Linked DNA regions of Alligator mississippiensis. The protein of the gene in region 2 purifies or fractionates together with the protein of the main gene of each other region. This does not show direct contact. Links are inferred from orthologs where the notes say so. Each region holds a gene or a part of one and is shown on either strand. Other genes may lie near its edges.

The links.
Region 1: the proteins of PHLPP2 (region 2) and NHERF1 purify together in Homo sapiens (co-immunoprecipitation; 3 studies listed by BioGRID and IntAct, with this or other methods). This does not show direct contact. The link is inferred for Alligator mississippiensis from reciprocal best matches to the Homo sapiens genes PHLPP2 and NHERF1.
Region 3: the proteins of PHLPP2 (region 2) and NHERF2 purify together in Homo sapiens (affinity purification with mass spectrometry; 3 studies listed by BioGRID and IntAct, with this or other methods). This does not show direct contact. The link is inferred for Alligator mississippiensis from reciprocal best matches to the Homo sapiens genes PHLPP2 and NHERF2.

What each region holds. Positions count from the first base shown.
Region 1 is NC_081831.1:11,682,041-11,685,780, reverse strand, and holds the start of NHERF1 (Na(+)/H(+) exchange regulatory cofactor NHE-RF1), read right to left. Parts: upstream 2,410-3,740; 5' UTR 2,352-2,409; coding exon 1,956-2,351; intron 1-1,955. UniProt on the Homo sapiens protein: Scaffold protein that connects plasma membrane proteins with members of the ezrin/moesin/radixin family and thereby helps to link them to the actin cytoskeleton and to regulate their surface expression. Necessary for recycling of internalized ADRB2.
Region 2 is NC_081833.1:77,620,495-77,624,234, forward strand, and holds the start of PHLPP2 (PH domain leucine-rich repeat-containing protein phosphatase 2), read left to right. Parts: upstream 1-1,524; 5' UTR 1,525-1,528; coding exon 1,529-1,603; intron 1,604-1,724; coding exon 1,725-1,945; intron 1,946-3,740. UniProt on the Homo sapiens protein: Protein phosphatase involved in regulation of Akt and PKC signaling.
Region 3 is NC_081836.1:57,480,571-57,484,310, forward strand, and holds the start of NHERF2 (Na(+)/H(+) exchange regulatory cofactor NHE-RF2), read left to right. Parts: upstream 1-1,122; 5' UTR 1,123-1,139; coding exon 1,140-1,583; intron 1,584-3,740.

The DNA.
Region 1 (3,740 bases), on a different chromosome or scaffold from region 2:
ATTTGTTCTTTCGAATGGCTACAGGTCACAGCTAAGTAGCTCCTCAGTAACGCATTTAGGGAATCTTATGCCCGTGCCCATAAACCCCATCTTAACCTGACAAAGGCTCCAATTTTTAGTTACCCCCGACCCTCTGCCAAAAAACCCCTTTATCATATGAATAGGGGACGCAGAAGCTAAGCTTGTCTTTATACACTGGAGATGGCAAGAGGTTAGCCCCACCAGCACAGAGAAGATATCACTCTGCCCTAGGGGTGAGAGACAACCTCCATCCATGCCTTTTATATACTCATTTGGAAAACTTGATAAGAAACTGGCTCCTTTGAGATGTATCATTATTTCAGCAATGCAGCAAGACAGAGGCTGCCACACTCTTGACAGTGGGCAGAGGGGAAAGCAGAAGTCCTACATCTATAATTAGCCCTGAAGATTATTAATAGAGACTAGGGAAGGTGTGTCTGTTTTCCTTCAGCACTTTGTGCAGCTCCTAGTACCACCCAGCCACTGGTTCTACACCGAGTTCCCAGGTACAAAAGCAACATTAATAGCTCTGAATCATCATCAGGCTTTCTTTTGTGCTTATTCTGTGGCTCTTCGTGTGCCACCTAGGCCCCTGCTATATATTACATATATTATGCAACTCACTGGTTAAACATGGAATAAGTTTAGACTGGTAACACGTGCAAAGTAAGACCGGGTACATGTGCGAAGTGATCATCACACAATTATCTGGTTAATGGTGCAACGAAGCTAGAGCGGCCACATGTGCAGAGTAATTATCACAAGATAAAAATGTCCATCCAACTACAAAAAAGAGCTAACAAGCTATAAAGTTAGTGCTTGAAAATATGTAAAAATTCTAGTGCTGGTTTCTAACCCGCTGTAATTTGAACAAGTAGCCTAGAAATCGACCTCTAGGCTCAGAGGTATCCAAGACACCAAAGGGAGACCATAGAAAATGAGGACTGGAAGGGACCACATCCAGTACAACCCCTGCTAGACCAGCCCCAACTACATCATCCCAGCCAGGGCTCTGTCTGGCCGGGTTTTGAAAACCTCCAAGGACGGAGCTTCCAGCACCGCTCTAGGTAACCCGTTCCAGCGCTCCACCACCCTCCCAGCGAGAAAGTTTTCTGTAATATCCAACTTAAACCTCCCCTGCTGCAACTTGAGACCCTCGCTCCTTGCTCTGTCACCACCGAGAACAGTCCAGCTCCTCCAGTCTAGATACGCAGCCTGGATTCTCGCACCTCTGCACCTTCCCTCCTTCTGATCTGCACCTCCCCTCTCCTTTCGGCAGGAAGCACATCGAGAAGACCTGGCTGCAAGTCCCCCCCGCACAGAGAACAGGTAAAGATGCGCTCTCTGGAAACGGCTGATTTCCAACCCTCTCCTTTCTCCCAGCAGGTCGGGCTGTTTCAAAAAGATGCCAGCACTGGGGCTGCCCGAGAACCGGACGCCCTTTTACTTTCAAACACACCGAACTTCACACGATCACCACGCTGGCAACCATTTCCTGACACCCTCTCTTCCCCCCACCGGTGCTGCCCGAACCTGGCACACTTTTGTGACCACTTCCTTGGCTATTCTGGAAAGCCAAGGCCGGCTTTCACGAGACCGCTGCGGGCACAGCCTGGCCTGAAGGAACCGGGCAGGCAGGAACCGAGGATTAGGCACAGGGGATCGGCTCATCCCAGGGCAGGGGGTTGGACTCGATGATCTAACAGGTCCCTTCCAACCCGAAAATCTATGCATCTATGCACATTTCCCCAGTCTCAGACAACCGGGGGACAGCAAACGCACGTCTACGCTGAGCACTGGCGGGCTGCACGCGCGCTGGTCCCACGGGTGCCGGGGAAGCTCTGCCTTGGAGCCCGCAAGGGGCAGAGCGGCCCCCCCGGGGGCAGCAGGGAGGGAGGGAGGGAGGGAGCAAGCGACCCCAGACCCGCACGCACCCGCTGCACCGGCTCCGGCTCGTCCGCCGCCTTCTCCTCCTCCTCCTCCTCCTCCTCCGCCGGCGGCGGCGGCTGCTGCTGCACCTCCTGGGCCGGGGCTCGCGGCTCGTCCGCGCTGGGGTCCACGACCAGCAGGCGCACGGCGCTGGAGGCGGCGCGGATGCGGCCGACCACCTGCTGGTGGCTGTCCTGCTCCACGTTGTGGCCGTTCACCTCCAGCAGGCGGTCGCCGGCCCGCAGCCCCGCGCGCTCGGCGGGCGAGTCCGGCTCCACCAGGCGGATGAACTGGCCCGGCTTGCCCTTCTCGCCGTGCAGGTGGAAGCCGTAGCCGCTCGGGCCCTTCTCCAGGCAGCACAGGCGCGGCGCCGCCCGCTCGCCGCCCGCCCCGTCGCTCATGCTGGCAGCGGGCTCCGCTCCCCCCGCGCCACGTGCGCCTAGCCCCGCCGCCGCCGCCGACTGCTGGCGATCCGCCTTCGGCACCGCCTTTTATAGCGGGGGCGGGGCCGCCGCGAGGAGCCAATCGCAGCTGGGAACCCAAGAGGCTCTGGAACCCGCAGCGAATCCGAGACACACCTCCCCTGGGCGGGGTTATGCAAATGAGAGAAGCTGAGGCCCCGCCCCCAACGATTGGGGCACCAGCCCCCTCGGCCTGCTGGCTTCTGGGGGGCCACTCCTCCTTGCTCGCTGGGTTTCCCTGCTGCCGGGGCGCCCCCTGCAGCCTCTTCTCCGCCTCCTCCGGGTGGGGGGGGCAAACCAGGCCACACTTTAGGTGTCCCCAATTTTTATTCTTCTATTTGGGGGCAGGGGGATGTAGTTTCCACAAGTTTTCGCATTTTAACACTCGGCTATTTATGTAAATCCTTCTGCCTTTTATAGGCGAAGATCCTGCTCTTCTGGTTCAGTCCCTGCCGAGGTGCAGCAGCGTGAAGCCCCATTTTTGGAAAAGGGGGGTTTCCTGCCTTGCTTGCTGCGTGTAGGTGATGGCTGAGAAGGAGCAAATCTCGGGGGCGTCCGAACTCCCCCAGGCTCCGGGCTTGGGCCTGTACATAGGACGCCCACCAAAGGATTTGGAAACATCTGGAGCCCCAGGTGTGGGTGGCGGGTGTTTGCCAGTAGTAGGGCCACTTATGGTTTTAGACTCTTGGATTTGGGATTGGTTTTGGCTAATCTGGCCTCGGAAACAAATTTAAAAAAAAAATCCCCCAAAGACTAGTAAAAAGGTCCATGATGCAACTGTGGTGGGTTAATATTGACCTCTAAGGGGCCCTGAATGACTCTTGCCCAGGGCCCCATTAACCCTAAGGCCGACACTGCTCCAAGACCTGCTGCTGAGGCTCTGGCTGCATGACCCCCTGCCCCCTCCTTGCACCTTTTTTCTTTACACGTCCCCGTTCATGGCTCCACCAAGTCCTCTTGGTCAACCTCCTCCGGGTCCTGGTCAATCTGGCCACAGAATCGGAGACCACGAGGGTTGGGAGGTCACATCTAGTGATTCGAGTCTATCCCTGTGCTCAAAGCAGGACCAGCCCCAACTACATCGTCCTAGCACGGCTTTGTGTAGCCGGGCCTTAAAAACCTCCAAAAGCTTTTACAGTTTTAAAAACCCCACTGTCTATTGGACGTGGAAAGAGGCTTTGGCTGGGGGAACCCCCGGGGATTGCACAGCCCCCTTCCCGTTCCTGTTCTGTTCACATCTCCAAGCACAGTTTCGCTGAGCAGCGTCCGCTGGCTCCTTGCACACGCTCAAGGGCTGCTGAGCACTGGCCGGCACGCTCTGCTCGCTGT
Region 2 (3,740 bases):
TTCATGTGGAAGCCTGTCTCTTGAGCAAGTGGGTCCAAAGGCCTGAGGTCTGGTGCCCTTCTCAGTCCTGGGCCATTCTTACAGCTCTTCTCGAGAAAGCATGTTGCTGCGCCACAGCCGGAGTGCGATGCCGTTCGGATGTCTGTTCCATGAGCCCTGCTGGAGACCGACTGGACGCCAGAGATGGGGGCACTTGGTGGCTCGCACCCTCCAGGAGCAGGGGAAGGAGAGGGGCACACTTTGGATCTTCATCCCTTGAGCCTGCTGATGTTGAGCACGCTCGTCTCCAGCTCTGCTGCTTTGAAGGAAATGGACTGCAAACCTGCGCTATTTCTCCTAGGCCCTGCCAGCGCCAAGCTTGCAGGGACCCGCCCTGCACACTCGGTCTCTGACCTCTTCCAGGACATAGACCTAGCACTGGACTGTGCCTGTTCCTGGAATGGTTTCCCTCCGCCTGCGCAAGTGCTTCGAGAGCAGGTTGTGCTGCTCTCCTCGAGACGGCTGGCAGAAGTGGCCCTGCTCGGCACGGGCTTGGGGAACGGCTGTCACCGTTTTGTTCAGACTGCTGGTCTCGGTGTGCCAGAAAATACAGCATAAACCCGGTGCGCTGTAGCTATGCTGGGTCTTTGCGGGCCGCGCCTGCCTGCCTGCCTGCCCGGCCGGCTGGCTCGCAGGGAGGGCTCGGGCTCGGGCTCAGCCACAGCCTGCAGCTCGGAGGAGGCTCCCTACGGCAGAGCTCGGCTGGAGCACGGACGAGGTGCGGCGAGCTGGCCCGGGCAGGTGCATCGGCAGCAGTGGAAACGCCGACGCAACCACCACGGGCGTCGGAGCTGGCCGTGCAGACAGCCCGCGCCTGGCACAGCTCTAGGCCAGCTCCAGCTCCTGCTCCTGCCTTGCTGCAGCCCGGGCGCAGCCTGCCCGGCCCCTTCCCGGAAGAGCAGTGGTGCCGGCGCACGAGGGCGGCGCGTGGAGGGCCGGCCCGCGCTCCCCCGCGGGGACGGATGCTCGCTGCCCTTCCCCGGGCCAGGCCCGTGGCCCGAGCAGCGCTGGGGGCTGCTCTCTGCCGCTCTGCGCCCGGCCCGGCCCGGCCCGGCAGCTCCCGCGGCGCCGTGTTCGTCGGGGCCGGGACGTCCCGCCAGGCGGGCCCTGCAGCAGCAGCAGCAGCAGAGCAGGCTGTTTGGCCGGCGCCCCGCGGAGCAGCGAGAGAGCCCGGCCGGGCGTGGGCGTGGGCGTGGGCGCGGCCCGGCCCGCGCGGGGGGTCTGCGGGCAGAAGGCGAGGGGGAGCGGACTGCTGTCTGACCGCCGGAAGTGGGTAGCGCTTCCGGCCCGGCCGGTCCGGGTCGTGCATGCTAATGAGGCGACGGAGGCGGAGTCTAGGTGGGCTGCCGGGCGGTGGGCGTGGCCGGCACGCCAGCGAGCCCGTGGGCGGGGCCAGGCGGCGGAGCTGCTGCCGGTAGGCTACAGGGGTGGGCGGGGCCGGGTGACGCGCGTTCGCGCGGGGCGGGGCCGGGCCGGGCCGGCCGGGCCCATGGAGGCGGCGGAGCCGGACGAGGACGAGGCGGGCGGCCGGGCCGGGCCCCGCGCGGGCCCGCGCCTGCTCAAGGTGCGGGGGCCGGGGCGGTGGTCGCGGGGGCGGGGCGGGGCGGGGCGGGTCCTGTCCTGCGCCCCCCACCCCCTCGCGCGGCGGGAGCCCTTCCCCGCGCTGAGCGCCGCTCTCTCCGCAGAGGCCGGCGCGGCGCCGCGGGAGCCGGAGCCGGAGCTGGCGGTTCGGGTCGCGGGAGCGGAGCTGGCTGCGGGAGGACGCGGCGCGCGGCTGCGTGAGCATCCAGGGCGCGGAGCCCGCGGCCGCCCCGCGCCTCGTGCTGTGCAGCGCGCACACGGCCGCCGCCGAGCTCTGCCCGCCGGGACAGCGCCTCTACCTGCAGCTGCACGGAGACCTGCTCAGGTGAGCCCGCCCCGCCGCGGGACGGGGGCTCGGCTCTCCAGGGCTCGGCGGGAAGCGTGCGCGGGCCGGGCCGGCTCCCCTCCCCTCCCCTCCTCTCCGCGCGCAGACCTCTCTGGCGGGAGCCGAGCGGCAGCGGGGAAGGGGCCAGGCGAGCGCGTGTCCCCGCGCCTGGCACAGTGGGGCTGGGGTGCCTGGTGTCCGCGCCGTGCCGCGCCCCCGGGGTTGTCGTCTTGTGGCCGTCGCCTCCGGACCACGCTGTCCTGGCGCCGGAGAGGAGCCGCTTGAGTCCCTGCAGTCTCCCCGTGAATCACGAGGGTTTCGGCCACTGCCGGGTCCCTTGGTCGCCGCGTCTGACGGTCCCGCCGCGAGGCCCCTCGGTGCAGCGGCAGCTCCTTGCGAGAGGAAACGGCCGCAACTTCGGTGCCGTTGCGTCGCGTGCGCGCGCTGTCAGCCAGCAGCCGGGGGGGGAGCAGCTGCCGTGGCGGGGAGGCGGGGGCAGGTTCGCAGTGCTGCACCCCTCCAGCCTCTTCCTTGCGCCTGTGGGGCGGCAGCCGGCAGCTCTGTCTGGGCCGGGGACACCTCCTGTTTTGCCTGGGAAGGCTGTCCGGACTGGCACAGCGCTACCGCCCTTCACTTGGGACGCAGCTGGCCGATGCCGGAGCGGCGTGGAGCAGATGGAAGAGGCTGAGCTCTGTGGGGGGCTGGAGAGCGCAGAGGGTGCCAGGCCCTGGCTTGTGCCTCGTCGCAGCAGCCAGGCAGGGCTGGCAGGGAGCAAAGGGCCTAGGCCCCGGGGGAGTTTGTGGAGAGGCTGAGAGCAGAGGCCAGGCCGGCGTGGCTCCGCTCCGCACAGCTCTGGTGACGTGGGAACGGAACGTGCTCGACCACGTGTTTCCTTACAGCGGGTCGGAGGCCCTGCCGCGAGGTACGTGATGTTTGCAGCCGGGAGGGGCTGGAACTGGGAAAGCAGCAGCTCGGAGACGGGCTTGTGGGTCCCAGCGGGGAGCACCCTGCACGTGGGCTCCCAGCGGCATGGCGGCGAGAGGGCGCGGTTCTGTGGGGTGCGGGCGGGAAAGCCAGGCGGCCGTGCTGCCTCAGCAGGCAGGAACCACACGCCCTGTGCTGGCTGCCCTGTCAGCGCATCCGCAGGGACGTCTCCATGCTGGAGGATGCTCAGCGAAGAGCGGTGTGTGCTGCTTGGCTGTCTGGCAAACCTGCCTGCCCCCAAGACCTCCGTGCACTCGCAGGAGAGGGGGAAAGGCAACTTTCATCGTGGGCTGTCAATACCAGCAAGGGAAACGTCCGTTAAGTCAGGAGAAGAATATAGCAAGGAGCAGTCGTGGGCAAAGGAAGCTAAGGAAACTCGGAGTAGGAGCAAAGGGAAGGCTTTACTGGTGAGGCTGGCTTGCCTGTGGGAGCAGTTGCCAGAGGGGAGTCGTCCTGACTCCAAGTCCTGTTGCTGTGGCTGGCGTCAGTCTCTGGGCTACTCTGGCTTGGGCAGAAGCCGGGGCGGGCTGCCAGGATCGCTCAGTGAGTCTCTGGCCTTTGCAGTGCAGGAGACAAGAGGAGAGCAGGGCTCCGCTCTGGCTCCGTCTGCTGTCATCCTGTGTTCTGGGGAGGCTGCTGCGTCCCATCCCCGGCGATCCCGGCACTGCTCTGGCCACCTCCTGCAGCTACAGAGATGTGCTTCATTGGGGATGACTCTTGAGTGTCTTGTTCCAGGAGTGCCAGACCAGTGTGACCAGCATGCTCTCTGATCTGCTGTGCTCTCAGCTGCATTCGAAGGGGAGGCGGGGGG
Region 3 (3,740 bases), on a different chromosome or scaffold from region 2:
AGAAGACACGGGATTCACCCAAAGAGCCTCGTGTGCCCACTCTTGTTTAATACCCCCATACCCTGCTCACCCCCTTGCCCCCACCCTCCGCCTCTGCTGCCCCCGGGGACAGCCCCCAGGTGCAGCGCGGTGCCAGCCAGGGGGATGCAATGCAATGCAATGCAATGCAATGCGTGGCGGCTCGCCCAGGCCGGGGGGGTGAAGCCCGCAGGTGCGGGGAATGGGATGCAATGCAATGCAATGCGTGGCGGCTCGCCCAGGCCCGGGGGGTGAAGCCCGCAGGTGCGGGGAATGGGATGCAATGCAATGCGTGGCGGCTCGCCCAGGCCGGGGGGTGAAGCCCGCAGGTGAGGGGAATGGGATGCAATGCAATGCAATGCAATGCGTGGCGGCTCGCCCAGGCCGGGGGGTGAAGCCCGCAGGTGCGGGGAATGGGATGCAATGCAATGCAATGCGTGGCGGCTCGCCCAGGCCCGGGGGGGGTGAAGCCCGCAGGTGCGGGGAATGGGATGCAATGCAATGCGTGGCGGCTCGCCCAGGCCGGGGGGTGAAGCCCGCAGGTGCGGGGAATGGGATGCAATGCAATGCAATGCAATGCGTGGCGGCTCGCCCAGGCCGGGGGGTGAAGCCCGCAGGTGCGGGGAATGGGATGCAATGCAATGCAATGCGTGGCGGCTCGCCCAGGCCCGGGGGGTGAAGCCCGCAGGTGCGGGGAATGGGATGCAATGCAATGCGTGGCGGCTCGCCCAGGCCGGGGGGTGAAGCCCGCAGGTGCGGGGAATGGGATGCAATGCAATGCAATGCAATGCGTGGCGGCTCGCCCAGGCCCGGGGGTGAAGCCCGCAGGTGCGGGGGATGGGATGCAATGCAATGCGTGGCGGCTCGCCCAGGCCCGGGGGTGAGGCCCGCAGGTGCGGGGAATGGGATGCAATGCAATGCAATGCAATGCAATGCAATGCAATGCAATGCAATGCAATGCGTGGCGGCTCGCCCAGGCCCGGGGGTGAAGCCCGCAGGTGCGGGGGATGGGATGCAATGCAATGCGTGGCGGCTCGCCCAGGCCCGGGGGTGAAGCCCGCAGGTGCGGGGCGGTGCGGGGCCCGGCTCCCCCTCCGCAGCTCTGGAAGGTTCCCGTTCGCATGAGGGGGAGGCGCAAAGCCGGCTCGGCCCCCGGCGCCGCTCCGCTGCAATGTCACTCGGCGCCGGCGGCCGCGGGGAGGAGGCGGCGCTGCAGCCGGAGCCGGAGCCGGAGCCGGAGCCGGGCAGCAGCAGCGGCGGCGGCGGTGGTGGTGGTGGCATGGCCCCATCTGCAGCCTCCCGCGCCTAGGCGGGATCGGGATCGGGGTCGGGGTCGGGGTCGGGGCGGCGGAGCCATGGCCAAGGACCAGCTGAAGCCGCGGCTGTGCCACATGCTGAAGGGCGAGCAGGGCTACGGCTTCCACCTGCACGGCGAGAAGGGCAAGAGCGGCCAGTTCATCCGCAAAGTGGAGCCCGGCTCCCCGGCCGAGGCGGCGGCGCTGCGGGCCGGGGACCGCGTCGTGGAGGTCAACGGCGTCAACGTGGACAAGGAGACGCATCACCAGGTGCGGCCCCGGCCCCCGCCCCGGCCCGCACGGGTCTCAGGGCAGCACCCGGACCCAGCCCCGACGTCCCGGGGTCCTCCCAGCCGCCCCTGCCTGCTCACGGACATACCCTGCGGGGCCAGGGCCAGGAGGAGCTGGACTAGAGGTCCAGACAACTGCCCTAAAACCCTGGGGTCCTCCCAGCCAGCCCCCTGCCCGCTCACGTAGATGCCCCGCTGGGCTAGGGCCAGGAAGAGCTGGACAGGAGGTCCGGAGAATTGCACCACAGTCCTGGGGTCCTCCGAACCAGCCCCCTTCCTGCTCACATAGATGCCCCGCTGGGTTAGGGCTAGGAGGAGCTGGACAGGAGGTCCGGAGAATTGCACCACAGTCCTGGGGTCCTCCGAACCAGCTCACATTGATGCCTGGCTGGGCTACGGCCAGGAGGAGCCGGCCAGCAAGTCCCGGGACTTGGTGGGGAGGGCATCAAGGAAGAGGTGCAGGGAGCCTCAGCAGGAGGGTTAGGATGAGGAGACAGGGTGGTTTCTGGCTCTGTTTTTGCGACCGTGGGGCTCCCTGCCTAGCGGGGCAAACCCCTGACCTTTGCAGGGGGCTGGGGAAAGGCTAGGCAAATGTTCAGATGAGGTTCTTTGGGTCAGTCCGAGCTCTTTTATTAGATCAGCTCAAATAGTTGGAAAAAATGTACCGCCCCCGAGGCAAATGTTCGGCGCTTGTTACTAGGGTAAAATGGGGATTTCTGTTGATTGCAGATTGAACTGGACACATAACGGTGGGGACGAGATCTCTTGCTGGCTCGGTGCTGAGCAGTTCTGTGTGGCTATCTGTTTAGGGCAGTAGGGGCTTGAATATATTCGTAGCTTAAAGTATATGGCAGGGACCCCCTGGAAGCGTGCTGCATTTGTCAGGTATTGGTCTGTCTCCTGCATGCTTCAGGGACCGCCCGGGATGACTGGGATAGTGGGCTTCGGTGATGAATTGCTGCTAGTGGGTCCTAGAGGCATGGGTGCTTGATGATCAACTCATTGGCGCAGTGATCTCTCCAGCCAGGGTGCCAGCTGTGAGGTCCTTTTAAGGGTGGCACACAGCGTGGTGCAATATTAGGGGTGCAGACAGCTATGCATGATTCACAAGGTAAACCCAGAGATTTTAAGTAATATCAAAAACGTCCTGCCCTGGTGTGGGCTTTTTTTTTTTTTTTTGCAACTTTTTTTTGGTGGTCAAGAAACAAGTGAAAGCTAAGAGCTGGCATTTTCGGAGGGCCAGGAGTGCCCAGAGTCCAGCAAGGGGCCCTGAGTATAAGGTTGAAAACCGGTGCAGGGCGTTGGAGCAGTTTGTGGTCTCGGTAGTGCTGCAATATGGAGTTGAGCTTGCTGACACCCACACTGGATTTGGCTCTTATTGTTTGTTCATTAGTAAAACAGACCCAGGCGAGCCGAGCACCCTCTGCAAAAGTGAACACGAGCCCTTTCGTTCTGATTTGGAATCGAGTCAGGCTCCATCTCTTCCTCTCTTCTAATTGCTGGGAGGAAAAGGGAGCTCCTGTTACATATGGAGCTGCATTTCCCATCGGAGAAGTGTCAGGGCTCTTCGTATGAAAATCTGATGGGGTGATGATGGGTGATTTAACGTGTCTGAAATGTGTGGGCTTTCTAGTTGCGTGGCGTAAGTGAAACGAGGGGCCTGTCATCTTCTCCATGTTTCCTTCTCCTTGCAAATAGCCCAGCAGATTTCAAAATATTCAGTGTTTCGACAAATAAAGTTAGCATTTGGGATCTCAGCAGGTAGGATGACGTCATGAGGCTGGCAATCCTTATGCTTGAGGACAAAATGCCCAATATTTTCTGGTGCTCCTTGCCCTAAGTGATACCAGGGTGCCGGAATAAAGGGCAATACCAGGGTATTGGACTCCACGGGTTTTCCCATTCTCTTCAGCACAGTGGCCTTTGAGCTAATAACCCTTTTACCTCTAGCACTGAAATGACCCGTAGCAAAGATCCTTAGTCTGTTCACGGTTGTTGCAAGCTCGGGAAGTTGACGTTTTTGGACATTTTCATGGTGTTTGTTTGTTTCCCTGACTTCTGGTTTGTTTTTTTTTCCTCCTAAATGCAAACAAGCTGCAAAGCTAAATGTGGAAGGTCTGTTCAAGGCACCACGCTC